4 linked regions of the Rhinolophus ferrumequinum genome follow. The protein of the gene in region 2 interacts with the protein of the main gene of each other region in a biochemical or structural test. Links are inferred from orthologs where the notes say so. Each region holds a gene or a part of one and is shown on either strand. Other genes may lie near its edges.

The links.
Region 1: of the proteins of histone H2A type 2-C (region 2) and USP16, one has a biochemical effect on the other in vitro, tested with the Homo sapiens proteins (2 studies listed by BioGRID). The link is inferred for Rhinolophus ferrumequinum from reciprocal best matches to the Homo sapiens genes H2AC20 and USP16.
Region 3: of the proteins of histone H2A type 2-C (region 2) and MYSM1, one has a biochemical effect on the other in vitro, tested with the Homo sapiens proteins (2 studies listed by BioGRID). The link is inferred for Rhinolophus ferrumequinum from reciprocal best matches to the Homo sapiens genes H2AC20 and MYSM1.
Region 4: of the proteins of histone H2A type 2-C (region 2) and UBE2B, one has a biochemical effect on the other in vitro, tested with the Homo sapiens proteins (2 studies listed by BioGRID, with this or other methods). The link is inferred for Rhinolophus ferrumequinum from reciprocal best matches to the Homo sapiens genes H2AC20 and UBE2B.

What each region holds. Positions count from the first base shown.
Region 1 is NC_046285.1:95,785,326-95,792,705, reverse strand, and holds the start of USP16 (ubiquitin carboxyl-terminal hydrolase 16), read right to left. Parts: upstream 3,027-7,380; 5' UTR 2,908-3,026; coding exon of another isoform or gene 2,889-2,907; intron 2,109-2,888; exon of another isoform or gene 1,924-2,108; intron 1-1,923. UniProt on the Homo sapiens protein: Specifically deubiquitinates 'Lys-120' of histone H2A (H2AK119Ub), a specific tag for epigenetic transcriptional repression, thereby acting as a coactivator.
Region 2 is NC_046305.1:50,347,456-50,352,856, reverse strand, and holds histone H2A type 2-C, read right to left. Parts: upstream 942-5,401; 5' UTR 906-941; coding exon 516-905; 3' UTR 515-515; downstream 1-514. Other genes in the region: histone H2A type 2-B, read left to right, coding at 1-355; histone H2B type 2-E, read left to right, coding at 1,235-1,615. UniProt on the Homo sapiens protein: Core component of nucleosome. Nucleosomes wrap and compact DNA into chromatin, limiting DNA accessibility to the cellular machineries which require DNA as a template.
Region 3 is NC_046292.1:42,464,585-42,471,757, forward strand, and holds the start of MYSM1 (deubiquitinase MYSM1), read right to left. Parts: upstream 3,026-7,173; 5' UTR 2,890-3,025; coding exon 2,747-2,889; intron 1-2,746. UniProt on the Homo sapiens protein: Metalloprotease with deubiquitinase activity that plays important regulator roles in hematopoietic stem cell function, blood cell production and immune response.
Region 4 is NC_046307.1:10,298,944-10,306,236, reverse strand, and holds the start of UBE2B (ubiquitin-conjugating enzyme E2 B), read right to left. Parts: upstream 3,020-7,293; 5' UTR 2,894-3,019; coding exon 2,850-2,893; intron 307-2,849; coding exon 226-306; intron 1-225. UniProt on the Homo sapiens protein: E2 ubiquitin-conjugating enzyme that accepts ubiquitin from the ubiquitin-activating enzyme E1 and transfers it to a E3 ubiquitin-protein ligase. In vitro catalyzes 'Lys-11'-, as well as 'Lys-48'- and 'Lys-63'-linked polyubiquitination.

The sequences.
Region 1 (7,380 bases), on a different chromosome or scaffold from region 2:
AGAAAACAAGATAAAGTTAGCTTGACAAAAAAAAAAGTTTGTTTTATATTTCTCTAAGTAATATAACTCAGCCACATATAATATTTTGCCTATCATACTTTATAATTTATAAAGGCCATTCACATACATCATCTGGTTTTCAATAAAAACTCTGAAGTAGATAGAATAGATAGTATTACTCCTGTGATTCATAGATCAGGAAACTGATTCTTAGTAAGATTAATAGGTTTTCAATAAATGTAAAGGTCAGGAGAGAACCTACGTATTCTTATACAGATCTTGAAAAGTCTCAGCACTTTACACTATTTGGAATTCAACTCACTACATTAATGAATGGAATGCTGGTGGCATGTTTAAACCTCAGCTGATTTCCTTTTCCTCTAAACTACCTTTCTTAGTTCTGCAGTCTATGCAAATTAAATTGATAATTTCTCTAAGAAAAATTAAAAATTCTGAAAACAAACTCCTAACAGGAGTTAGAAAATTTTTCAAAATAATTTCAAGACCAAATACAAAAAGTGACACACTGTTCTGCATTCTCCACACCAGAATTCCCTATGGATATTAACCAAGAATTGATTATAACTGTATTCTCAACTATTTATATTACATTACTGCCAAATCAATTTGGAATACTATGACAAATCTAGCTGTACATCAACTCTTCACCTCTTTAGTCAACAATTCAAAACCAGCAAATGTGAATAGTGCTGAAAGTACATACAGGTCCACCTAGCTTTAAATAATAGCAATGATTTTGAAAAATTGTATCTAACATACATTACAGTAACTTAGTGTCAAAACCACTTAAATTTCTACAATGTTATCCGATCTGGGATGCTTATTAAAATTCTTATTACATAAGTGGAAAGACTTGGAACATATGTTTTGAAACACTTCCCCATTAATTCTGAAACTTAGCTGTCATCCTGCTCTGTCTTAGTCTTAGGAGTATTCCTCTTTTAGCTCTTAATGGGTTAGTGTCACTAAAGGTAATTCAAAAACGTTTGCATGAAAAATAAGTGCCACATCGAGTAACTGCTAATCTTTACAAAGATAATCTAAAATGTAACAAGTTTCATGTTTACAAAGCAAATGAATAAACAACAAAAGAATACAAAGTATATAGATACATTTAAAACGAGGTATATTTTATGTGCTTTTTCTCATCCCAAAGACAACATTTAACTTATCTTACCCGGAATTATAGATCTTAGGGGAAAAAAACAGCACCCACATTCTTCCTTCCAATCAAACTCCCTCTAATCTGTGCTGCATTTTAATACCAGATATACCTTCCAATAATGCCATTTCCATCACTTCACTCTCTTGATTGAAAGTATTTAACAGTTTTCCAGTCCACACTCCTCAGCCTTGCGCTCATGGTCCTTTAGAAATTGTCCCCAATGCTCTGGCAATTCTGACTCTCACTACTTCTCAAAAAGAACCACTAAAGTTTAACTATATGATGCTTTTGACCTCCAAAGCCCTTTCATAAACATTCTCTCATTTGCTTTTCACAACAACCCTTTAAATAGAGCATTTCACTAAAGGAGGAAACTCAAAAGCAAAATGATGAAAGATCACTGGAGGTCAGAGACAGAACTAAAACGGAGGTCTTCCACCACCCCACCCCCACCCCCCGCCCCCCAAAATCACCACTCTTTCCATGCCTATCAAGTCAGTCTCTTGGGTATCCTCCACTCCCAAACACCTCGGCCCCACCTCTATGCCTCTGATCTCTAGCTGGGACATTTTTAATCTGGACATGTACTATGTGTCTATCTGGAATCTAAAGTTCTGGGAGAAAGAAATGGTTTTAGGCTTTACTTCTGATTTGGCTACAACACCTAACATAGTGTTAGTACCTAGTAGGTCCTCAAGAAATAATTCTTGCAGGGAAATAGGAAAAAAGAATAGTACCTGATGCAAAAGGATGATTACAAGGTACAAAGGTATGTACATAAGAACGAAGCAACCACGTTCCCGTGAAAAAGAAAAGGGGAAAGGATGAAGTCTGCAGCAGTGAAGGCAGCACTAGCGAATCTGGTTTGAGGACTGCAGTAGCCCAGACTCCAAAGGTAAACTTGAAAGACGAATTGTAACTGCTGCAGGCAGAGGACAGACAGTAGGGGAGTCACTTTAATGCTGTGGATAGAGTTCCAATAAATTTTTGACAAGTATGAAGGACGTCTAATGAGTCATAAGAAAAGAGCACTGTAGGTACCATCAGCTATAAAACATCAATGAATCATATTAAGTTTTTCAGGCGATTCTTCAGATGAGAATTAGCTTCTTAGCCAAATTACTCTTTGCAGGACTCCACACAAAATTCCAACCAAAGCTGGTCTTGCCGGTTCTCATATTAACCCAGTTCCCTACCATCTATGCCCTCCCAGTCTTCTCATGCCTGCTCGGTTCCATTGAAAATGGAAGCGTTTGGAAAACTTTGTCATCAGGTCTTAAACAGGGCTTTCAAATTCTGTGCAGATGTATCCTATCCCAGGGTCATTGAATCGGCTAGGTCCTGCTTTTCCTACGACCCACCACTGGGCCGCGGCAGCAAACCCAGCTCTAACCCGTAGGGTGCCCCCAGTCGCCCGGCGCCCGCCACACCTCCCCTTTCAGTCCAACTGCTCCGCACCCCTGGGGGAACCTCGGGGTCCACCAGGTCGAGAAAGGCGCCACCACCGACAACTCATTGGCCAGCTTCTGGAAGTGACAGGACATAAAGCCAATGAGAACGCGGCACCGGGCCGAGGATGGGTAACGTGCTTAGGGAAGAGGGGCCTTAGACAAGAGAACGAGTTCAGGGCAGAAAATTCGGGCTCTCCGAGCACGGGAAGTCATGCGAGCTGTGACTGCGACTCATTGAGATCAGAACTCACCCACGGCGACAGCGCCCATAACTGCATCCCCTAATAGGCCTTTGGGCTGGGCAGCCAGCTCTGTCTTCCTCCTGGTGACGAATAAAAAGCGACAGAGCCAAAGCCACAGTGACCACTAGAAAGCAACAACTTCCGGTACGGGGCATTATGGGAAGTGACTTTGGCCCCAGGGTCTAGAGGCGCTGACGCTAGTTAGTCGGCGCCTGCGCGCGGCTGGCCCCGGAAGCGCAGACGCAGCGGCACACAGGACTGTGGTTGCCGATGAGTTCTCCTTACTGGGATGCAAATGCTTCTAAATGCTTCTAAACTGTGGGTACCTGGTGGTAGTCAGAGGTTTGGAGTCTCGTGGGGGTTACATTACTCACATTACATGTGAAGTCTGGCTAAGAGGGGGACAGTTAAATTTCATGCAGTTCCCCTAATTCTATCCAATCGACTTCTAAAATTGAGTATGTAAATAAATTGTCTTGAGCTGACCTTGCCGACAGAGGGTAAGATGTTCAAACATTTACTGTTTCTTCGTCCAGAATGTGTTTGTGCCAAACCCTCTGTGAAGTGAATTAAACATAGGCCTCACTGCCCTGGAGTTTAGTCTTATACAGAAAACACAATCGCTGGGGAGAAAAAGGTGCAGGTGCCAACAGAAAAATAGGCAAGTGCTATACACAAGATAATTCACAATAAAAGAGCAATTGGTCATAAAAGATAGGATTAAATGTTCATCCTTATTAGTAATCGGATAAAAGTAGGTTAAGAACGTTGCCTCCTAACCTGTTGAATTGGTCAGAGTCACGACGGCTAAATTTGGGGGGAAACTGATTCTCCTGCCCTTTTTGCTGATATGATTCTTTTAAGCTATCTTCACTCAGCACACAGGCATTTTTTGTTTCAATTCTAGAACACAGAAGTATCTGTTGTACCACCTGCTTCCTCTGCCTGGAATGCTGGTCCTCTTCATCTTCCCTCTTTGGTATCTTCTTGTAATAATGTTCACACCTTGAGAGTCACTTTCTGGTTTGAAATTGGCTGGGCAACCTAAAGAACATAGCTACCCAACCACTCACCTCATTTTGCTTCTCTGCCTAACAATTACCACTATCTGGTCATTTTCTTTCATATTTACCTATATGTTTATCTCCCGTCCCCATCTCCTACATACACAGAAACATGCAAATGTAAGCTCCTTGAGAGATGGGACATCTTTGTCTCGTTCACTGCTGTATCTCTGGTATTGAGAAGTGTCTGGAACATATAAGTGCTTAGTGAATACTTACTGAAGAAACAGTCATTCGAAATGAAATGCTGTACAAGAATGTTCGTAGCAGCCTTACTCAAAATAGCCAAAAAACTGGACATAGCCACATTTTCATCAAAAGAATGGAAAAACTGGTCTAGTCACACAATGGAATACTAAGCAATAAAAAGTACTCATACACACAAGAACATGGATGAATCTCTTAAAACATTCTGGAAGAAGTCTTAAGCAAAAATACTGTATAATTCCATTCATATGAAATTCTGGAGCAGGCAAATCTAATTCCTGTGGGGAAAAATCAGAACAGTGGTTGTTTCTTGGGGGTTGGGTAGGAACTGACTGGAAAGGAGTGTGAAGATACTTCCGGGTTCTGGTATATTCTATATCTTAATAGGGTTTAAGTTACACAGGTGTATGCATGTGTCAAAACTCAGCAAATACACATTTCATTTTTGCCTCAAAAGAAACTGGGAATGATGTTCGGGAAATTTGCCTTCATTGGCTGCTGTTATCTTTTGTCTGTTAGCTTTTTGTTCCCCCACGAGAGACCGCATGTGGGGTTCCCTCACGTGAGAGACTGCACGTGAGGCACTGGTTAGCTTTTTGTTCCCTCACATGTGGAGGACTGCATGTGAGGTTTGTTGCAGACTAACTCTGAGTTGGATTTTTGTCTATTTTCCTGCATCAGTAGATGAGGTAGATAAGTATCTAAATTATATCGGAATGACGTGACAGGCATGTTGGAAGGCATTGGGCCGATGGTCCCAGGCAATAACAGGTAAGTGTTGTTGGTCCGAGTGAACTGGCCCTTCGGCCGGATACGCAATATTCTTATCACAGTAACTGCTGAACCCTCTGGGAACTGGCCATTCCCGGAGCAGGAGGCAGGAATAGGGAGCTTGGCTCTAAGGCACATCTGAAAAAATATATAAGACAGATCTCAGTTGGCAGTGTACTTTCGTCATCCGTCCTTGGTGAGTCTTCATCATTCCAGCATTCTTGGGAACTAGCAAGCAGCCCTGGGAGACAACTCAGCTTTCCCCGCCGCAGACCTGACAAGATTTTGTTTTATGACTTTTCCAGTGCTGTTTTAGCCGTTTGGTGAGCTTCGCTGGCATATATTTTAATCTTAACCGCCTTTCCTTTCTGTCATTAGCACCTTGTTTGAATTGCCTTTGTCTTTTGCTATTGCGTATTGCTAAATAAACTGATTAGGTATTGCTAAATAAATGAAGTAGCCCCTCCCTGGCCCCCCCCACTCGTCATTACAGAAACTGAATTTGAATACTAGTGTTATGCATGCTGAAGTACTACGGGAAAGGTATACTAATGTCTGCATAGATGTATGGCAAAGCTGGTAGAGGAAAATGTTATGATAGCGTTCCGGTCAGTTTCTTAACCTCAGCACTCTGGACATTTGGGACCAGCGAGTTCCTTGTTGTAGGGGGATAGCCTGTGTTTGTAGGAAGTTGAGCAGCAGCCCATTAGATGTCAGAAGCATCCCTCCAGTTGTGGCAACCCAAAATGTCTTCAGACATTCCTAAATGTTCCCTGGGGAGCAAAATCGCTCCCCTTCTCTTGAGTTGCTCTACTGCTTCACTGTAAAATTCTCTCAACTTTGCTGTGCGCTTGAAATTGTTCCTAAAAGTTGGAGGAAAAAAGCAATGATTTAATGACATTGAAAAATACCTACAAAATACCAAGTAGAAGATGCAGCTATAAAGACCTATGTACTAATTTTATTTTTGTAAAAAAAAAAAAAAACCGCAGAGGTTAGCAACAATAACCAACACCAATGAATATCAGTGTTTGCAAAATATCTTATTGGAGATTTCTAAAATGCATATGTAACACAAAGAAAAAAGTGCATTGGGTATATTTAGATTGTGAAGAAAAACATTTCTAATTACTCTCGTGTGGAGTCGCCTTCAAACTGTCCTTTTACTAGCCGGGACGAACTTCTGTGTATGCCCAGGGTCCTTCCTGAAGTCGCCACAGCCAGCATCCACGCTCACCCTCTCCCTAATGCCTTGCTACTCAGTGTCGTTCAGGACCGTCAGGACCGCTGCAGCGCAGGAAGGTTTTAGGAATGCGGAATGTAGGACCCCACCGCTACCTACCGATCCCGATCTGCGCTATACAAACATCCGTAAATGTTTCCTCCGCCACGTTCGAATTTGAGGGGCGTTCCTTTAAGGGATCAATCCTTGACCCAGGAACCAGTGTTGGCTACACTTCTCCCTGACAGTGGCAGCAGCTGGCAAATGCCAATAGGGTAAAACAGGAACGCGATGGGGCTAAGGAATCCCAGCCGCCCACCGCAACCCGCGACTAACAGGTCCCCGCGGCTCGCGCTTCCGGGACTGGCGCGCACGCGCCCCGTCGGGAAGGCGCCGTCTCACGTCCCCGGGGCCGCCCCGCCGGAGCGGTGTGTACGCTTCCGGTCGTCCTCCAGAATTCTGAGGCTCCCTCCGGATGAGAAGTGAACTGGCCACGCAGCCAGGAAACCCGGGGCTACAGCACCAAGGCGGTCCATGGCTCGAGGTGAGTCTTCTGCCCACTAGATCCCAGTGGCAGGGACTGAGGGTCGCTGCTGCAGCCCGTTCCTGGTCCCCGGAACGTGGCGACGTAGTGGCACCGCCTCCCCACGCGCTGCACACCGCTCATTGGTTAGAACGGGCCTCGGCGTTTCCTGCCCCCCACCATCGCCACCACCACCCTTCCCCCTCCAAGGCCTAGTTCATTGTTAGGTGCGAGGGCTCCTGTGCCGGCGAGGCAGGAGAAAGAACAATTCCGCTCAGGAAACTCGTTTGATTCTATGGTCTTACAGCATTCGCGGAAATCTTGAGTCAGAAAATTCTCTTACAGGGTTTTTTCTTAGACTGAAATCTCATCTCCAGAAATAATTGGACAAATAAGTGGTTTACTTGTGACAACACTCCCGTAGTTGCCTCCCCCGCCTCCAATGGTGACTTGGTCCCAAACTTCACTGCTTGTTCCGTTTTGTCTTCCAGACCTCCAAACTCTATGGTGTCTTCTCCCAACGTCACTCACTACCTGGGTGATTAAACAGACATGCCTTTAAGTAAATGCTGATTACTCCCAAAATTGCATCTCCATCGGGATCTCTCATAAACCCCATAACTACATCCATCTGCCTGCTGCCAATCTGTACTCACTTAGCTGTCTTTCTAGGCACTGCATTATGTCTAAACCAAGTATGTCTAAAACCAAGCT
Region 2 (5,401 bases):
CAAGGCCAAGTCGCGCTCGTCACGCGCAGGCCTGCAGTTCCCGGTGGGGCGAGTGCACCGCCTGCTGCGCAAAGGCAACTACGCGGAGCGGGTGGGGGCCGGTGCCCCCGTGTACCTGGCGGCCGTGCTTGAATACCTGACCGCGGAGATCCTGGAACTGGCGGGCAACGCCGCCCGAGACAACAAGAAGACTCGCATCATCCCTCGCCACTTACAACTAGCCGTGAGAAATGACGAAGAACTCAACAAATTACTCGGGGGTGTCACTATCGCCCAGGGAGGTGTCTTGCCTAACATCCAGGCAGTTTTGTTGCCTAAGAAAACGGAGAGTCACAAACCTGGCAAGAACAAGTAATTCAGATGGTTGACACCCGTCCTCCCCCCCCCAAAAGGCTCTTTTAAGAGCCACTCGAGTGTCAAATGAGGGGCTGACCACAACAGCGCATTAGCTCTTTTTTTGAAAACTTGGGTGGCTCTAAAAAGAGCCTTTGATCTTTGGTTTACTTTGTCACATTTTATTTGCTTTTGGCTTTGTGGCTCTCGGTCTTCTTTGGTAATAGAACTGCCTGAATGTTGGGCAGAACGCCGCCCTGGGCGATGGTGACTTTGCCCAGCAGCTTGTTCAGTTCCTCGTCGTTGCGGATGGCCAGCTGCAGGTGACGAGGGATGATGCGCGTCTTCTTGTTGTCTCGGGCGGCGTTCCCCGCCAGCTCCAGGATCTCCGCGGTCAGGTACTCGAGCACGGCCGCCATGTAGACGGGCGCGCCAGCCCCCACCCGTTCCGCATAGTTACCCTTGCGCAGCAGACGGTGCACTCGCCCCACCGGAAACTGGAGACCAGCCCGGGACGATCGCGACTTGGCCTTAGCGCGAGCTTTGCCTCCTTGTTTTCCACGACCAGACATGACTACACACAAAACCAACTGTTCTAAATCTCAGAACCTCGCACCGAAACAGGACTGAAAAATCAGCACTTCGAAAGCCTTTATAAGCTTTCCTAGGGGAGGGGTCAGGAATGAGTTTTTCATTGGTTCTAAATTGGCTCCAGAAACGACCAATTGGGTCAAGAGTCAGTGTCGTTACGTAGCTACTACTGGAAACGCCAGGTCCCTGCGTAGCCCAATAGAAACGAAAGACTTCTGGAGTCCTAATTTGCATACAGTGGTTATAAAAGGATCATGCCCGCCCATTATCTCATTCCTTTTCTTTACCAAGCTGTGTTGTGTGTTTGATAATGCCTGAGCCGGCAAAATCCGCTCCCGCGCCTAAGAAGGGTTCGAAGAAGGCAGTCACCAAAGCCCAGAAGAAGGATGGCAAAAAGCGCAAGCGCAGCCGCAAGGAGAGCTACTCCATCTACGTGTACAAGGTGCTGAAGCAGGTGCATCCCGACACCGGTATCTCGTCTAAGGCCATGGGTATCATGAATTCTTTCGTCAACGACATCTTCGAGCGCATCGCCGGCGAGGCCTCCCGCCTGGCGCATTACAACAAGCGCTCCACCATCACGTCCCGGGAGATCCAGACGGCCGTGCGCCTGCTGCTGCCCGGGGAGCTGGCCAAGCACGCCGTGTCCGAGGGCACCAAGGCCGTCACCAAGTACACCAGCTCCAAGTGAGTCCCTGCCGGGACGCGGCGCTCCCATGAGTGGCCAGCCGCTTGACTCCAAAGGCTCTTTTCAGAGCCACCCACCTACTCAGAAAAGAGCTCTCTGCGTTCATCTTTTCATAAGTTATGTTAGGATAAAGATCGCGGAACACATACGTTTTTAAGCTTTCCTGCTTTGAGGTTCCGCCTACGTGACTTGGCTCTTGAATGTAGGGCACGTCTTTAACCCGTTCCTGTGCTTTTTGCTTTTCCTGAATCAGGTCTAAATTAGTATCGGGAATCTGCTCCTACTCCGGCCCCAGACGTCTTGGTGGCTCTGTTGGGTATATTTTATTGGCGTTTTAAACGAAGTGATTTCGGTCATGTTCATTTAAGAAAGTGTCCCAGGACAAAACTAAGCCCGGGTCTCGCGGACACTGCGTCACAGCCAGGAAGGTTTCTCCCGAGAATTCGGCAGCTGCTTGGGTGCTGATCCGTTGTGTCCTGCGATGTGGCCTCCTTTGGACACCAGCGATTCCGAGCACTTCCGGCGGAGTCTGCGCTTCCAAGGTCCCAGCCCTTCTCTGATTGGACAACGTGAATATTCAAAATCCCGCGCCGCCCCTCGGAATTAATAGATTCTGGTTTCTGCTGCTCACTTTGCGGCTTTGAAATCCCTATTGTTTCTCGTTCTTGTGTTTCATTTTTGCTTTTAATTTTCTCAAAAGGTTCTGGACTCGGGTCACTTAAAGGCACTGGTCATTTAGGTCTGGGTTCAAATTTAACCTCTCAGACCTTCCCAAGTTATCCACTCAGGAATTTGCGCTCCTCATTCCTGCCTGTCCTGGTCCTTCACTGTTTTATCTTCCTCATAGCAGCCGTCAGAAATTTTCTCTTTCGTTTATTTTGTTTATGTTTTTTCTTATGCCCTTAACAGAGACTTTGCTGGTCTGTTTTTTGGCTATATCGCCAAAGCCAATCAGTACCTGGCACATAGTGGACACTTAAATACTTACTGATGTTAATATTTGTTAAATTTTTTTATCGCACCCTTTTCTTCTAATCACTTCCATGGATGGGTGGATGGGTGCGGTTCATTTCCATTAGATGTATGTGAAGACATGAAAATGGAAATGTTTTTGGAGCTCCTTCCCCAAGGCTGTCGTCCATGGTCACCTCGGGGCAACACCTGAGAGGAGGCCCATGTTAAGATTCTTTTTTGCTGGAAAGAGGACGTGGCAATGGTAGGTCTTCCTTTTACTCTAACGCTTCTCAGTTTAGCGTAATCTCTTGGGTTTTCAGTACATTGAGAGTTGGTCACTGGAAAGGCCCTTTTCCCTTCTTTTCTGCCCCACTCCCTGCACCCATCCTCTGTTCCACACTGAGATGAGCTTTAATTTGCACTTAGCCATCTCATTTGTTTTTCGAAGACCACGTAAGACAGACAATCTGTATGATATGCAAGGTTAATATGCTACCTTTTACAAATGAGGTTGAGAGAAGCAAAGTGATCGGTCCACTGGTCATGCAGCTAACATTGTCCACTTCTGTCTCCCGAGAACTGAGGACAGTTGCAATTTAGTTTTATTTTGTGTAATTACAGAATGTTGAATCTCTGTCTAAACCTTGATTTTGCTGATAAAGACACTGATGGTCTGATCAGGTACTCAACTCTGCTTTTGCCTAAGGGGTCCTGGAGCCCACTGTAAGGGTTTCATGAATCCAAATGGACTCCAGACATTATCATAGACTGAATAAATCTTGTTTCCTACATGTGTGTTTTCAGATGTGTGTAGAGGATATGGTTATTAATAAAGTTACCAGTTAATTTAAAATTCTTTTATCTGCAATATATTTCTAACTAAATGAAATTAGCAGATCCAACCACTACTGGGTCTGTGGGAAAGCTTGGAGGATGAATATTTATAAGCCACCAATTAACCAAACTTACTTGTAGCTCAGAGGTGCATTGGGCTAGCCTGTTATGAGGACACTTAATGCTTAGTAATTGAAAAATACATGATCACAAATAAGCATTGTAAACAAGATGGAAGAAATAAAGTCCTTACAAAATTTTAGCCTACAGAGCACTTACGATGGGCCACATAATGTTCTAGGCCCTTTACACATTCTGACTCATTTAATCCTCATAAGAACCTCATAAAGTAGTTACCATTATTATCTCCCATTTTATAGATGATGAAACTGGCACAGAGAGCCTTCTTCTCTGAAACTCTCCAGAGGATAAATTCCTAGTTCAGTGTTTAAGGGACTTGAGAAAATCAGGTAACTGAAATCCTGGGTGTCTCCCTGGATTCTAGGGGGGAATATCTGTGGTTTAAAATTAAATAAATGTCACCTGGTTTTATTCTCTTCAGAATGCACCCTGAATATATACCTATGCTGGTGGTGGCCTTGAGAATGGGATTGGGGGGTGCTCTGGTTCTCCATTCCAGAGGCCATAGCTCAACGCAATTTAGTTTGTCCTCAGTGGTGGGACTTACCAGCTGGAATCCCTTCGCTAACAGGAGGTAACATTAGTTGCTGGTTGTGCGCTCCTCCAGGGCATGGTGTTTACTACCAGTGAAGTTAGAGTGAGGAAGGGGTTAGAGGTGATAGAGTTTGGTATTTCAGCTCTAGAAGGGAGTTAATTAGTAATGGTAAGATGACTCCTCCTAAATAACCTCTTGGATCACTTTTATCTCCTGCTCAAACATCTGTATACATTTTCTGATGTTGGGGTCAATAATTGTTATAATTCCTTCTACTTATTGAGCACCGAACTATTTACCTGGTCTCTGCCAAGTGATTTACATGCATTGCCTAATTTAATCTTAAACAGCCACTATTTAAGATAGGTGATTGTTATCATCCTTACTTTATAGAGAAAGGAAACTGACTCTCGGAGAAGGTAAATAACTTGTCCAGGAAAATAACTTGTCCAGGATTGTTTAGGGAGTAACTGTTGAAACTGCAGTCCAATGCATGATTTGAAAAAGCTTAATATGCAAGGCCCTCTTTTTTTTTTTTTTTTTTAATTTTCTGCTCTAGTTAAAATGGTCTCTTTACCTTCCCCTAAACCTACGTTTTCTTTCCTAGGTCGGTACTGGACTGCACTGCATCTTCCTTCTGTCTTGGCCAGGGCTTTTTCTCAAGCCAAGCCCATATCTTCCAGCTCAAATGACACCTCTTAACTCATTTCTCTACCATACCCACTTCTACTTTTGTAAAAAACAATTTTATTGAGGTATAATTGACATGCAATAAACGATACATGTTTAAACTACCATTTGCTAAGTTTTGGCATATACAGAGTGTGCCAAAAAAAGCATACACATTTTTAAATTTAAATTGGGGAATATTGGGTAACTGTTTTTCCAGGATGTCAAGTCGTCGTTTTTCAATCTAGTTGTGGAGGGCGCAGTTCACTGGCCCATGTGGGAATCCAACTGGCAACGTTGTTGTTAAGAGCTCAGGCTCTAACCAGCAGAGACATCCAGCGTAGCCCTATGCACATTTTAAGAAAGGAAAAAAAACTGTATTAAAATTGTAATACTAGGTATATACTGATAACAAAAGATGAATACAAGTCATGTGTATACGTTTTTTTGGCACCCCCGGTATATATATGAAGACATCACTACAATCAAAATAATGAACATATCCATCACTCCTCTGCCCATTTTCTAGTGTCCCTTCATAATTCTTCCCAATTGCCCCCCTTCACCAATGTCCTCCTTTGCCCCAGCCCTGCCCTCAGACAACCACTGGTTTGCTTTATCTCATTATACATAGTTTGTATTTTCTAGAATTTTAT
Region 3 (7,173 bases), on a different chromosome or scaffold from region 2:
TATCTACAATAAACTAAAAGCAATAATGTTTCTCAACTGTTGATGGCAAAAAGGTTTTAATTCAAATGTCAATTCTGACTTGACAGGATCTACCAGGAACGCAAAATAAAGGATTCTTAGACTCATATCAGCAGAAGGAAACCTTTGTTTAACTAACTAGACCTGCCAAGGGTGCAGGAGGTGGGACTAGAATCACTTCAAGTTTACTTCAGAAATCTTTTTACATAGTATTCCTCAGTAAGAATTAGCAACATCCACACCGCTGGTGTATGCATCAAGACACCTACCTGGACATCCACAGGTACCACCAATTAATGTGTTTAAACCTGAGCTCACTTTCCTCTCAAATATGCTCCTCTTCCATCGTTCCCTATCTCAGTCTATGGCATCTTCATCCCCTTAAAAGCCCAAGCCAGAAATCTGAGCCTGTCCTTATTTCCTCACAATGCACATTCAATTTGTTGCCAATTCTGTTGCTTCTCTCTTTTTCAAATCCAGTTCTTACACAATATCCACACTGACCAGAGGGCCTGTACTTTCAGACCTTATACTTTTCCCTGGGTAAGTGCGAGGGATAAAGCTGAGGAGCCATCCACCTTCCCTCCTTTTTCTTTTCCCACTTATCTCCATTTGAAATATATATAGGAGGTTTATTGTCTGTCTTACCTAATAAAGAATGTTTGGTTCTATTAGAGCAAGGGTTTAAGTTTTGGTAACTGCTTGGTATACAAAAGGTGCTCAATCAATATTTGTTGAATGATTGAATGACTGAAGTAGGTGAGGCATGGATCACACAGATCTCTAGGAGTTAAGGAATGAATGTTTTATCAAGAAGTCAATTGGGAATTGAAAGGAATAACACAATCAGAGACGGATGTAAGAAAGGCGGCTCTAACTTCAGGGAAGTATAGAAGGGGCCAAAGAGACAAGGAACAGTTATGAAGGAGTGATTATATAAATACTAGAAAAAGGTGACAGTAATTTAGACCAAGGGCACAAGCAACAGGAAGAAGTGAACACATCTGAGAGTATACTTAGAGTCAACAGACCCTTAATAACTGATAGGACAGAAAGAGTAGAAGGAAAAAGTCAAGGAAAAGTGTACATGTAGGTCTGTGCCTTGTGTGACTGAGTAGTTGGCGCCATTTATTGAACTGGGAACCTAGAGAGGCACGTTTGGTGGAGAAAATTTCTAAGCTCAGACTGAGGGGCTTGTGGAACCACCAAGAGCATATAGTTTCGGAGTGTTGGATAAACAGATCCGAAGCTCAGGAAAAGAGATTTGGGTTGGCAACATAGCTGCGTCCTACACAGCTAGACCGAGAAACCACGGCTTGAACCGGAGAGGGAGGGGGGTGGCGGAAAAAAGAAAAAAAAAGATTAATTTCATCTACTAATGTGAACAATGATGGTTATTAAAGGTTCCCTACTCATCTGTAGAGCTTTGGACTGATTTGCCTAACGATTTGGGAGAGAATAACTATGAATTTAATTACTCCGCACATGTTTCCAATGCTTTAGAATTCACAAAAACTTTAAACCTCTTATGTTAGTCCCTCATGGGCAGGGTCAGTACTGTTGTCCACAATTTACAGAAACCCCAATGTTAGCTTGGATCATATGAAATTGCCATTTTACAGGTCAAAACGTTCTAAGACTGGCGCTTTCACATGGTTCAACACAGTAGATGGAGTTCTAATGAAGTTGTTCCCAGTTATGAGCAGCACAGCTGGCTGAGTTTAGTATGGAGGTCTTTTGATTCCTCATCCGTCTTGGCCTCTTCCACTATTAAAGGGAGACTCTGGAGGTACATTTTTAAAATGGTATGCATCAATTTCTATTTCAGACAGCAAAGAGTCAAAGGGTTAGATCTCAAGCTGGATGGTGCCGTTTAAAACGACACTGGCCTATTATGCAGAAATTGGTGTTAAATTCATCGTGACCCCTCACTGAGTTCTCACCATACCATCCTCGAGGGTAACAGAACAGTCAAGAACACGACAGTTACCGAGCACCTAACATATGCTAAAACACACCCAACAATTATATTTCATTGGATCCTCACCGGACTCGTACAAGGTACATTTCATGATTTGCCCGTTTACACATGAGCTGTCTGAGGCGGAGACAAGTTTAACGTCTGGCCTGAGGTCACACTGCTAGACACTGGCAGGGCCCGCCAATGCAGGAGGAGAACCCCGAGCTGTCCAGCTCCGAAGTCCTACCCCTTTCCCTTAAGTCAAGCTGCCTCTCAGGAACTTTTTCACAACTATCCCTACGTGGAAGAGGAAACCTGCGGCCAGTCGGACTGAAACGCCCAAGGTCACACGGCTTGCCAAGCAAGGAACAAGGATCCCTGACCTCGGATCTCGTCCAGGGGCCGCCCTTGTCGGAGTTACTGTCGGGCGGGGGTGAGGAGGAGGATTCTGGCGAAATTGGGGGGTGGAGGGAGTGGCAGAAGGAATTGTTCGGAAGAGTGCCTTGCGCTAGGCGAACTCGGAGCCCTCACGGCATCCAGATAAAAGGTGCGACAGCCGTCCGACACTCGCTCGGGGTCCCCGCCCGCTGGGCTCAGGAGTGGCCGGCTGGCCCGATGGGCGCGGCCCCTCACCGGCCGCTAGGAGACCCTGGCGCCGCGGTTTTCTTCCGCTCCCCTGGCCCTTGACCGACGCGCCGCCATTCTGCGGCACTCTCCTCGCACCCGCCCCCCTCCGCGTCCCGGCGAGACCCGGTCCCTGTGCCTCACCCTGGCTGTGCTGCCGCGGCCACCACGTCCCCTTCGATATCCACATCCGCCTCTTCAGCCGCCATGATGGGACCTGACCCCATCCGTCCTCCCGAGAGATCCCGCGAGAGGTGGATGGTCGGGGGTGGGGCCGCATGCGTCATCGGGCGGAATTGAAGTCTCGTCCAGCGCTGCGCCTGGGGACGCTGGGCTTCCGGAGAAACGATGCCCCCTGCGGCCGGGGGGTGGGTCTTTTTGACTTTTGTTGACGTTTAAAGACGTTGGGAGGTGGCCCAGGCTTGGGTTTTGAAGAGGTTGTGCTCTTGGATAAATTCTTTGGCACTCACTTCTCTCATTTGTCTAATAGGGATAGTAATAAATATCTTCCTGGAGTGTTGAAAAAGTGAAGCCAGACGTGCTTTAAACAGTGAAGGTGACTACAATGAAGGACCTTTTACCGACTGGTCTGCTTTTCGGTTTTTTTTTCTTCTCTTTTTTTTTTTTTAAAGAAAACGTTAGTGCTGAACAAGTTCTGTTTTAAAATTCAAAAAACATTTAAGAATATAACTTATGATTGCATATTTTATGTTGCACAGGTCTTTACAATTAATTAAAAAGTCACTCTCGTGACCATTGATCTTTACAATAACCCAGTCTATTGGAGGACTGGTATCAACAGTTTAACTTTACAGATGGGAAACTGAGAGTCAGAAAGCTGAAATGACTGTCAAAGGACACACAGCTGGTCAAAAACAAAGCTGGGATGAGAATCCAGGTTTTTTGACTCTTTACGGACTGCTCACCTTATACAAATTATGTTGTTAGGAACTGTGAAAGATAAACACCATTTCCAAGAATTTATGTCTTCTCAAGAAATTAGATATTGGCCTTATGTATTCTTCTACCTTCTACCTCACTCACATTACTGTAACAGTTTCTTCACTTGCCTGCCTCTAACACAGGACTGTGACTTCTTTAAGGACAAAGGCTGTCTCTGCGAGTCCTTATACTACCAACATTCAGCCTGGTGTCTGACACATAGTAGGTGCTTAAAATTAATATTTAACTGATGAATGAATCAATCAATTAATGGAATGAATTCACTTCCCACACTATTCTTAATTTGTTTCGTCTCACTTTTGTTCGTGCTCAGGGATAAGATGAGCTGTACTATAAATGTGATGGCAGAAGATGGAGAGAAAGATTTGTAAAGAGGGAGATCCAGGGCTCAAAAACTGAATATTGTCCCATCCTTAGGCCACTCTGGGAGTGCTGCTTCTGTTGTTTAAGGGCTGATCCAATGATAAGTCCCAATGGTAACTGGAAAGCCTGGCACAGAGTAGGAATTCTAAGATGTTTGTTGAATTTGGTTTAAAGCAAGGTTAGAAAGATGTACGTGGCCAGATAGTCAAAAGAAAATAAAGAATAGAGTTGCCTTTCATTGATCTTTATGTAGCAGGCTGAGATGGAACCCTGGTCGTGCTGTCTGCATGTACATGATATCAAATGCCTCCTAGACAATAACACAAAATATCATGTGAACAGTGTCTCTTGCAACTCTATACTGGATGAAGGCTTTCAGCTCCAGTGCCAGCATCAGTAGACATTAAAACATATGTGGAAGGAAGGAAAAGCCTGCACAGAATTTAAATATGCCCCGAGACCTTTAGACTAGTCTGAACCCTTTACAAACATATCCCACACAATGCTCCCGCTTAGTTGGCTTACAAGGGTCAAGGCCCAACCCGCCTGACAGGATAAGATTATAACCTTACAGTCAAATGAACTCCTGAGGCCTGGTCTATTTAACATTTCCTGTTCTAGAGGTCTGCGGCTCTGCGACTTGTTTAAAGACCCACTTTCTCACCAAGCAGTTTGGAAGCAGAATTCAGAATTCATATTTCATAATTCCTTGTTGTACTCCTCCTGTGCTGTATACTGGGGAAATGGCATTGAACAAGACAAACGTAGTCTCTGCCCCATAAAGTCTATCAGATATGCAATTTCAAGATGATATAATAATTTCTACGATAGAGGAGTTACAGGCAGTTGTGGGAGTACAAAGGAGGAGCACTTATCCCAGGAAGAACCTTCTCCTGTTTCACATTTATGAGGATGATATTGATTAGGCAAAATTTGAGAGCAATGCTCCAGACTCTGGGGAATACAAAATAGAAGACCTGTTCCCTAAATTGAAGAAAGAACCAACGGAAAAACATTGGAAGGAATAGCGCAGTGCCTGGTACTCACACAGAGCCCGGAATAGTGCCTATTCCTTCTGGCCAGACTGGGAAAACTGCACAATTCCTGGGGCATTGGGTAGATAACTCAGAAGGGTACTGTCTAAGCAGTTGAAAATAATTAGCTCTAGGTGGAGCACTGCGCTGGTACTGCCGAACAAATCTTAAATACAATATCTGAAAGGATAAAACTGTTTCCATGTAAACTTAACTGCATCTCCACGTCTCCTCCCGAAAACACTCAAGAGTATTTACAGGAATACAAAAATATCCAGCACCCAGCAAGACAAAATTCACAATGAGTGATGTCCAATTTACCAGGCATGCAAAGAAGTAGGAAAATATGACCCATAATAAGGAAAATCAATCAGTCCATTGAAACCCACCAAGTACTGCTATGGATGTTAAAATAAGCACATTAAACAGTTATTATAACTGTATTCTATGTGTTCAAAAAGTTAAGTGGACACATGAAAAATATTTAAAGAATGAAACTGAATTTCTAGAGATAAAAACTATAATGCCTGAAATGAAAAAATACACTGGGTTGGATTAATGGAAAATTAGACATGACAGAAGGAAGGATTTGTGAACTTAAACATGCAATGAAAGAACTATACAAAATGAAACACACAGAGAAATTTAAAAATTTTAGAAATAGAAAAGCAATGAGCTGTAGGACAACTTCAAGCTTCCTAATATATGTGCAATAGAGTTCTGGAAAGTAAGGGATAGGGATCAGGAAAAAAACATTTGAAGAAATAATGATTGAAAAATTTTCCAGCTTTGAGAAAAACTATAAACTCATAGATCTAAGAAACTCGAGGAACTCCAGACAGAAGAAACATAAAGAAAATTACATTAAGGCCCATCAAAATCATATTGCTCAAAAATGGTGATAAAGAGAGAAACTCTCCAGAGAATAAAGGCATGTTACCTACAGAGGGAAAAAATAAAAATCACAACAAAATTCTTGTTGGAAACAATGACAACAAGAAAATGTTAAATCAATATCTGTAATGACTGAAAGAAAAAAAGTCAGTGCAGTCAGAGAATTGAATACCTAGTAAAAATTTCTTTCAAAAATGGAGGCCAAAAGATGTCTTTTTAAGATATAAAATCTGAAGGAACTCATCATCAACCTATTTTTACTACAAGAAATGTTAAAGGACATCCTTCAGGGAGAGGGAAATGGTATCAGGTAGGAAAAAGAAAGAGTGCAGGGAATGGTAACTACTAGTACATGGTAAATATGTAAGTTTTTTTCTTAGTATTTAAATCTTGTTAAAAGATTATTAACTGTTTAAACAAATATAATAACAATGTATTGTGAGCTTTATAATATACGTATAAATTAAATGTATGACAACAATAATACAAAGTCCCGAAAAGGAGAAATGCAAGTATATTATTGTCAGATCATTATACTATACACGAAGTGGTATAACTATACTATACATGAAGTGGCAATTGAATACATTATCACTGTGATCTATTGAAGACGTACAATATGAACCCTAAAGTAACCCCTAAAGTAATAAAACCAAGTTTGAATGTTAATGAAAATTTATGCGTATATTACTTGTACTATTTTTTTTTAAAGCTATAAAAGTAGGTTTGCTACCTTGCTAAATTACGTAGAACTAGGAACTAAGTATTAATGGAGCAGGAATTCATACCAAAGCCAGCTTCAAAGCTTGTGTTGTTTTTCCCACACCAGACTGTCTCTCTTGTTTATATATGTATCAAATATGAATGTATTCAGTTCTTAGGGTTACAGATAATTGACCCTCAAGGACTGTAAATAAAGAATGTCAGGTTGTCTTCAAAGGTAAGTGGTGAGATCAGCTCATCAGAGAGCAGTGATATCCAAGTAAACTTAAAGAAAAGGAAGGACATTCAGGCCCAAATGAATTCATACATCTAAGTTCACAGTAGTAAATGCTGTCAGTACCTTTCCAAACAATGTCTAAGAAGAAAGAAGCTGGAATATTACACAGGTGTCCAGTTCTAGTATGGACAGAGCAAGAACGCAATATTTTTCCATCCTGTTAGCCAGACCACCTATATACCATGATAAGGTAAGTACCATGAGAGGAAGGACTTTGTTTTATTCATTGCTTTATTCCCATGGCCCATAACACTGCTGGCTGCACAGCAGGGTCTCAACAAACATTTGTTGACTAAATGGTCACAAAAGGCCATGAC
Region 4 (7,293 bases), on a different chromosome or scaffold from region 2:
TATTTTTATCAGTAAAGCCAAAGTCATTATAAAATCATATGTATTAACACCAAAGCACAAATAAATTTTATGAAACTGCCAAAACTCTTATCAAAATGATTTTTCTAATTTACTTAGCAGTTTCTGTAAGATCCCCATTCCACCTTTGCCTCTCTTCCTAGTTGTTACACACTTTTTTCCTTACAGAATCACCACACCTATCAATCGTTATATTCTTCAACTCACCCAAATATAACTGCATTCCACTGCATGATGTTGTTTTCAGATGGTGCGCCACTGACACCCACAGGTGGGTCCTCTTGCAATCTAGAACCCCAGGTAGTAATTTTACAAGTTGAACATTAAGGCCAGGAAAAAAAGACCAAACAGAACACCTATACACCATTTACTTTGAAACAAAATAAAACCATTTTCTTGTCCTTGTGTTGAGCTGGAATAAACCATGTAACTTAAAAAAAAAGAAAAAACGACCAGGTATACACTTATCTACAAATTATCTAAAATTCCAAAGAGTTTGGGAGTATCCCTCTTCAAATACCATCAAGATTAAGATATCTCTTCAAGAACTAATGTATACAGGCTTCCCTCAAAAAATAAAAATTAAAATTAAAAACCTCAACTGCAAGATTTTCACAGAACATCCATTTTGCTGCTGTATGAGTCCTAACCACAGCTATTTGTGCAACATGGCCACCAAACCTCCTCCCACCCCCCAAAAAACAAAAAAACCTCAGTGTAAACTAGGGTTTCCGGGCAGGGATTCCCGTCCCGTTCTCGTGATCTTTTTTCGCTTTCCCATTCCCGAATCCTGAGAAAAGTTGGTCGGGAAATCGGGGAGATGGGCTCCTTGAACCCAGTAATACCCACAATGGGAAATAAATGTATTACTCGCAATGTATCTTAGACATTTTTCCTATTTATCGCTAGGGTTTCCGGGCGGGAATTCCCGCCTGTTCTCGGGAACTTTTTTTCTTTTTGCTTTTCTGTTCCAATCCCAAGAAAAATTGGTCAGGAAATCGGGAAAATCGGCTCCTTGAACCCAGGTGGTTGGTAGTATCGGCCGTCACTTTGTGGAAACAGTTCATCGTGAGAACAGAAAACAGTTTATATCTCGGGATTCGGGAAAGAAAAGCGACAAAAACTCCTGAGAACGGGCGAAATCCTAGTGTAAACACAAAACTATTAAAAACACATATCCAATTTAATTAGGAAACTAATTTTAGGCAGGAAAGTTACTTTATACAATTTGCTTCAATTGGCAATGGCTTTTAAAGTAATCAAAGTTTCATTTAGGTTTTCCTATCAGTCCCTATTTTAGAGGTTCGGCACTAACATTAAATTTACCTCTCAGATCAGGAGAGTCAATACAAAGCTACTACCATCCAACATTTGTCATAGTCAAATTCTCATAACCTGGAGACCCTTGGAAAACTAGCAAAAGTGCCATGTGTTCAACTCAGAATAAAGCAGAGACTCACAGTAAGAAAACCAGGGTAACAATGGACACAAACAAAGTTTTATTATTTGAATTTTGTTCATGGGAGTTAGTCTGAAATCTACCAATTTCAAGCTTCAGAAGAAGCATGAAATAGGGCATCTCCTTTTAAAGACTGTTATCTCAGTAAAAAATGAATGCTACATTATATATATTATACATGCAGTGATTGTCATGTAGTATAATACTTTGAAATTAGTCTACATAAAAATGGTTATTTTTAGTGAACCTCAGATTAGGCCACGATGAAGAAGCCTTAGAGGAATTAGGCTGCTTGATGCCCACCAAAGGCTAAGAGAAGTTACGAATATATTCAACGATAAATTGGCTGAAGCCCAAAACAATAGGTTCCAAAGGCCTCACCTACGACGTTGTAATTGTGAAGTTGAGAGGTTACTTCCTGAGCAGCTAATCTAAAATTTTACACTAGATATTTTATCTCAATCAAGGCAGGTCTCCCATGAAAAACACTTATAATGTGCAGAGGATCGCAATGCTAAGTTTTCTCAGTCATTTTTTTCCCGTACCTCCAAGTATTCAATCAAACGTAAACTGGAAAAAAAAAATCACTTCCTTCTCACTAACCCCCACACTTCTCAACAAAACCCTATTTTACAAAAGGAGGCCCAGGGAGTATCAGGTTAACGCCAGTTAAGGGAAGGCATTTTTCCAGACTTTGGAGGCTATAGATAGGGCTTTATACACCAGGCCACGGAGCTGAGTTCCAGAAGGCACTGGCAGCCGGTGTTGCCAGCTCGAGTCCCAGGTTTCTAAGCCAGTTCTCAAGGTCCTTTCAGGCGGGCGGGTGAGAGTCGGGTTTCGGAGGATGGGTTAACCACCTCCGGATCTCGCGCTGCAGACCCCACCCTCACTGCAGAACGAACGGGGGGGGGGGCTTTTCGCCCCAACCCTGTCCCTCCGAGGAGACCGCAGGACCATCGAACAAAGCTGATTGGTGCAGCAAGCAGGGAAAAAAGCTTCCCCAAGAGCTCGCTTTTGGGAGACAAGGAGGGGGCGCCGCCGGGTGCAGGGGTGGGGGTGGGGGGGTGAGGTTTGAACGCTGGGGCGAGACGTCGGGCAGCTGGCCCGAGCAGGCAGCGGGGAATCCTAGGACAGCCCACAGCCATCTTTTTACTTTTGGGGAGGAGGGGGTATCGAAATGTCTTACGTCAGAGGAGTGAGCAAGCAAAGATGTGGAAGTGCGAACGGGGGGAGTAGAACTGGCCTCCGTCGGTCCCGCGGGGCCCACAGTCGGCCCTCTTAGGACCGTGAGAGGAAGGTATCCCGATCCCCACCCTGCAGGCCCGTAGGTCTGGGGAGGAGCCATCATCCTGGCGAACGTGAAGGGCCTTACCGCTTGAAATCCCGCATAAGCCTCCTCCGGGCCGGGGTCGACATGCTCCCCAGCTGCCCCGCGGTCAGTCTGAGAGAAAAGAGTCCCGCGCAGCCCCCCCACCCCCCGGCGCGGCGGCCGAATCACTGCGGGTCACCGCCGCCGCCGAGGCTGCACAAACAACCCTGCAATGACGTCTCCCTCCGCCACCTCCAGATCCCTCCGCCCTCCGCCACTACCACAGAATGAGGGGTGGAGGAGAAGGAGATAGGCCGTATGAGAGCTCGAACGTAGCCTTTCAGCAGGACCCTATCCATTGTGGCTGCCTGACCTAATCGAAAAATTAGTCTTCGCTGTGTTCAGGCTGGAAATTGTGAATTAAGAGACACCGAAACCGAAACACCACCCTGTCTCTCCCCCTTTCACTAATTTAGGCCCGACCGGGTGGGGAGAGAGGGACTCAAGCGAGGTCGGAGATTTCAGGAAAGGAGGAGGGATGACGTAAAACCACGTGACTGCTGGCGGAGTTGTCAACAATCCACCCCTGAGGGGGAGGGGGCGAAGTATCTAGAACCACGTGTCCCTGTGACGCGATTAGAACGGATCCCTTGAGAGTGTCTCCTGGATCTGAGTCTCAGCCAGGTCAGTGAAGCAGGTAAATTGACTGAGCTGAGGGCGGGCATATACTTTTATTAGTTTTCCATCTGTTTCGTCCTATGAACAGGGAGGGCAATCGAAGAGGTCCTGATGGAAGCAAAGCTTGTTTTGCTTAAGTCTTTAAAACTGAGCCGAAAATAATTTGGATTTAAAATCCCCTCTGGCTGGTTCAATGGCTTATCAAATCTGGTACATGAAGAAGAAAGTGATGGGGGCTTTCATTTTTTCTAATAAATGCAGGATTAAATGCTGAGGCCCGTACGAAGTAAAATCCCCTAAAATACTTCCTTAGGGCCATGCAATAGCGTGTATGTATGTACATTGCAGTGGGGTTTCCAGGGTTGGAAAGTCTGGGCAAAGATAAAAGAACGGTGTAGATTGTCCAAGGTTTATTCACACTCCCTGTGGAATTAAGAATCTTGTTTTTCCTTTATAGGTCTGCCCTCATATGAGGATGTGTCCAAGTCCATGGATTTGGCTAGGATGGGGTACCATTGTATTTGTCAATAAATGTGGGGATGAGGTCTCCAGAGAGCATATCAATGGAAGGTTGGTTGTTAAAGAAACCTAAAACTATGATTCAGATCTTGGGGGGGGGGGTAAATATACCCTGTTTCCCCAAAAATAAGACCTAGCCAGACAGTGAGCTCTAATGCGTCTTTTGGAGGAAAAATTAATATAATAAGACGCGGTCTTATATTAATTTTTGATCCAAAAGACGCACTAGAGCAGATGGTCCGGCTAGATCTTATTTTTGGGGAAACACGGTATCTAGCCTGGATAAGTCATTTAAGGTTTTCTGTATCAACAGGTAAGGGGCAAATGTGCCAGAAAGCCCAGTGGGAAGGGGCAGGGGCATGGCTTAAAGGTATTGACCCTTGGAGAGGACTCTAAATACTTCAGCCCAAAGTGGAATGAGAAGATAGAATAAGGACCTTAGAATTGCCCCAAGTTGCCCAAAGTTCAATGGAACCAGAGAGGGCTAACTTTCCCCACTTTCCTGGTACCCCCTCCACCCCCCCACCCCCCCACCCGGTCTTCTAACCTTGAATTCCAGCTCTTGCTTTTAGGAACTGCCTTCGTGATCAGGTCAGCCAGGACTAACTCTTGATAGGTCCTGCTGTGCATTCACAAATGTGATTCTTTAAGTCAAAAGTTAGATATTCTTATTTTTACTTTTTTGCCTTCTTGCCATAGCCAATCCTAATCCTTCCCTAGCTAAGGATGAAGACACACTGGTGGGGTTACATGCAGTGAAATGCTGAAGAGAAAATTTTTTAAAAAATCCCTGTTATGTCATTTATCTAGCAATTTATAATTGTTTTGGAAACCTAGTTTACAATTTTCTAAAATGAAGAACACTTTCAACAAAATCAGTGAAGGTGTTGCTTTAAAGTGTTGTAGTAGTGTATTAAGCAAGAATCATTGGCTGTCCTGGTTACCAGGCCCACCACAACCTATTTGTAGTGTTAAAAACAAAATTCAACAGAGTAAATTTGAAGATCTAATTGGCTTTATCAAGCGATTCATGAATTGGGCAGTGTCCCACCTAGCAACTAGAAGGGCACTTTGAGAGGCTTTACAAAACGGAAGGTTTTTATAGGAAGAAGATAAAAGAGCTACCGCGTTTCCCTGAAAATAAGAGCTAGACTATCAGCTCTAATGTGTCTTTTGTATCAAAAATTAATATAGACCTGGTCTTATTTTACTATAAGACCAGATATAATATAATATAATACCGAGTCTTATATTTTTGCTCCAAAAGACACATTAGAGCTGATTGTCTGGCTATGTCTTATTTTCGGGGAAACACAGTATTAACAAAAGAAAAGGATTAATTTTGAGCAGAGACATCTTTTGGGGTGGGAGAGAATGGGAAGGGTTTTTATCACACAGATTGCCTCTTTGTTTTCGAGGGTGACGTGGAAAGGGCCCACGTGATAGATTATTTCATTGGTGTTGACCAGAAAATTCTAGGTAACTAAGGTAGTCTGGAATTTTGTGGTCAAGACTGTTCCTGGGAGAGGTTGAAACTGCAATTAAGTAAGGTATTAAATCTAGGTTTGGTATCATGGGCTTCCTGGTGATGCTACTTTGGGCCTGTGATTTTTTTTTCTTTAACAGTAGAAAGAATAGTTTTAAGCTATAATTTTATACTGTAGTGATTCTGTATTGCTAAACTGTGAGCTCACTGAGGGCAAGGACTCTGATTCATGCCTTGTCCCTTGCAAATACTTAGCCCAGAACATATATTTAATACGCTTACAGCAAGTCAGGGCCCACTATGAGATTTACTTTAACATGCTTATTCTTAGAAAGTATTTTATAACAACGTTGAACAACTTTTTAAACGGAAAGACATTTCTGAATTTTTTTTGGTGATGATAAACAAAAACCAATGATCACCTCTTCTTCCTCTCCCACTCCTCTCAGTATAAACCTTAACAGCATAGAAACACCTGGGAGCTTTTAAAATACCAATTCCTTTACCCTGTCGTTTAAATTAGGATCTCTGGGAGTGGGGCCTTTTTAAAAATTCACCTATCCATCATGAGGGGTGTTTTCCTCATACTCCCTGCCATGACCTCCTCAAATATGAGGTTCATAAAATACTGCCTGCAGTCACCCACAGATCAGGCCCTGGGACCCAAGAAAACCTCGGTCCGGCCCAATCCTCAAACCAGACGTCTTAGGGTCCTGGACCAGTAAGTAGACATTTGTGATTTTAATGTGCATGGTGGGGTGGAACCAACTGGAGTAGAATTTATTGGATAATAATGATGCTTTCTCATTTAGGGGAAGCATAGTGAGATTTGGCCTTTTAACATTTAACTCTTTTTACAAAAAAAAAAAGAAATGAAAGCCCCAAGAAATACCTGGATGCTCGCTGCAGTGATATCCTTGTTATTCATTGGAGGCTGTCACTGCAGCAGAACCCTGTGTCTAGTTCTTAAGCAATTAGATAACCGCTTTTTTTTTCTCCCTGTGCCGTTGTATGTCAATCCGTGTGTGGCAGAACTCTTTGGATTATTTGCTTTCCCAAAGGAGTTTTAGGCGTGTAGTGAGTTTTTAAAAAAGGAGGATTACTACGAGTTCGAAAAAATTTAAACGCATTATTTCAGGTATTCAAGAAATGTTGATTTAGTTACCATCTTATCCCCATTTTAGGGATTAATGTCGATAGCTGAGGTCGAACTCAGTTTTCAAAGACAAACGGGGTCTGTGGAAAAGATTCCTATTTTTTTCTGTTTCTGTATTTTAAAGTATCGGTTTATTTTGTAAATGCATCATCCAGCTTGAACATAACTACGTAACTTAGAAAACTCCGATTACACCAGACTTGTTTGGAAGTCTCACTTTACAAGATGTCTCTACTTAATGATACCAGCCATCCTTTTATGACCAAGCATAAGCAGCAGGTGTTCTGCCTGGGGGCATATGCGACCCAGGTTGGACCAGAATCCACCTCGGTTCCCCTTTCGTGGAGGATTTGCAGTCATTCACGCTGCAGTCAAAATGCTAATCCGCCCCCATCTCCGCTCAAAATCAACTTTGTGTGGAGGCTCCAGTTTGATCAACCGCAACCCGTACTCCCCACTCCCACCCCCAAGAGAACATCCACTTGGCGCCCATGGGGAATTCGTTTCCCATCCCCACCCCCAAGAGAACTTCCACTTAGCGTCCACCGGGAATTCGTTATCGCGTCTTCTCATTTTCTCTTCCGGGTCAGGCCGGTGCAGCCGACGTTCCGGTCTTGCGCGTTAGGCCCCGAGCGCGAGGCCGGCGGCACCGTTGCCATGGTAGCGGG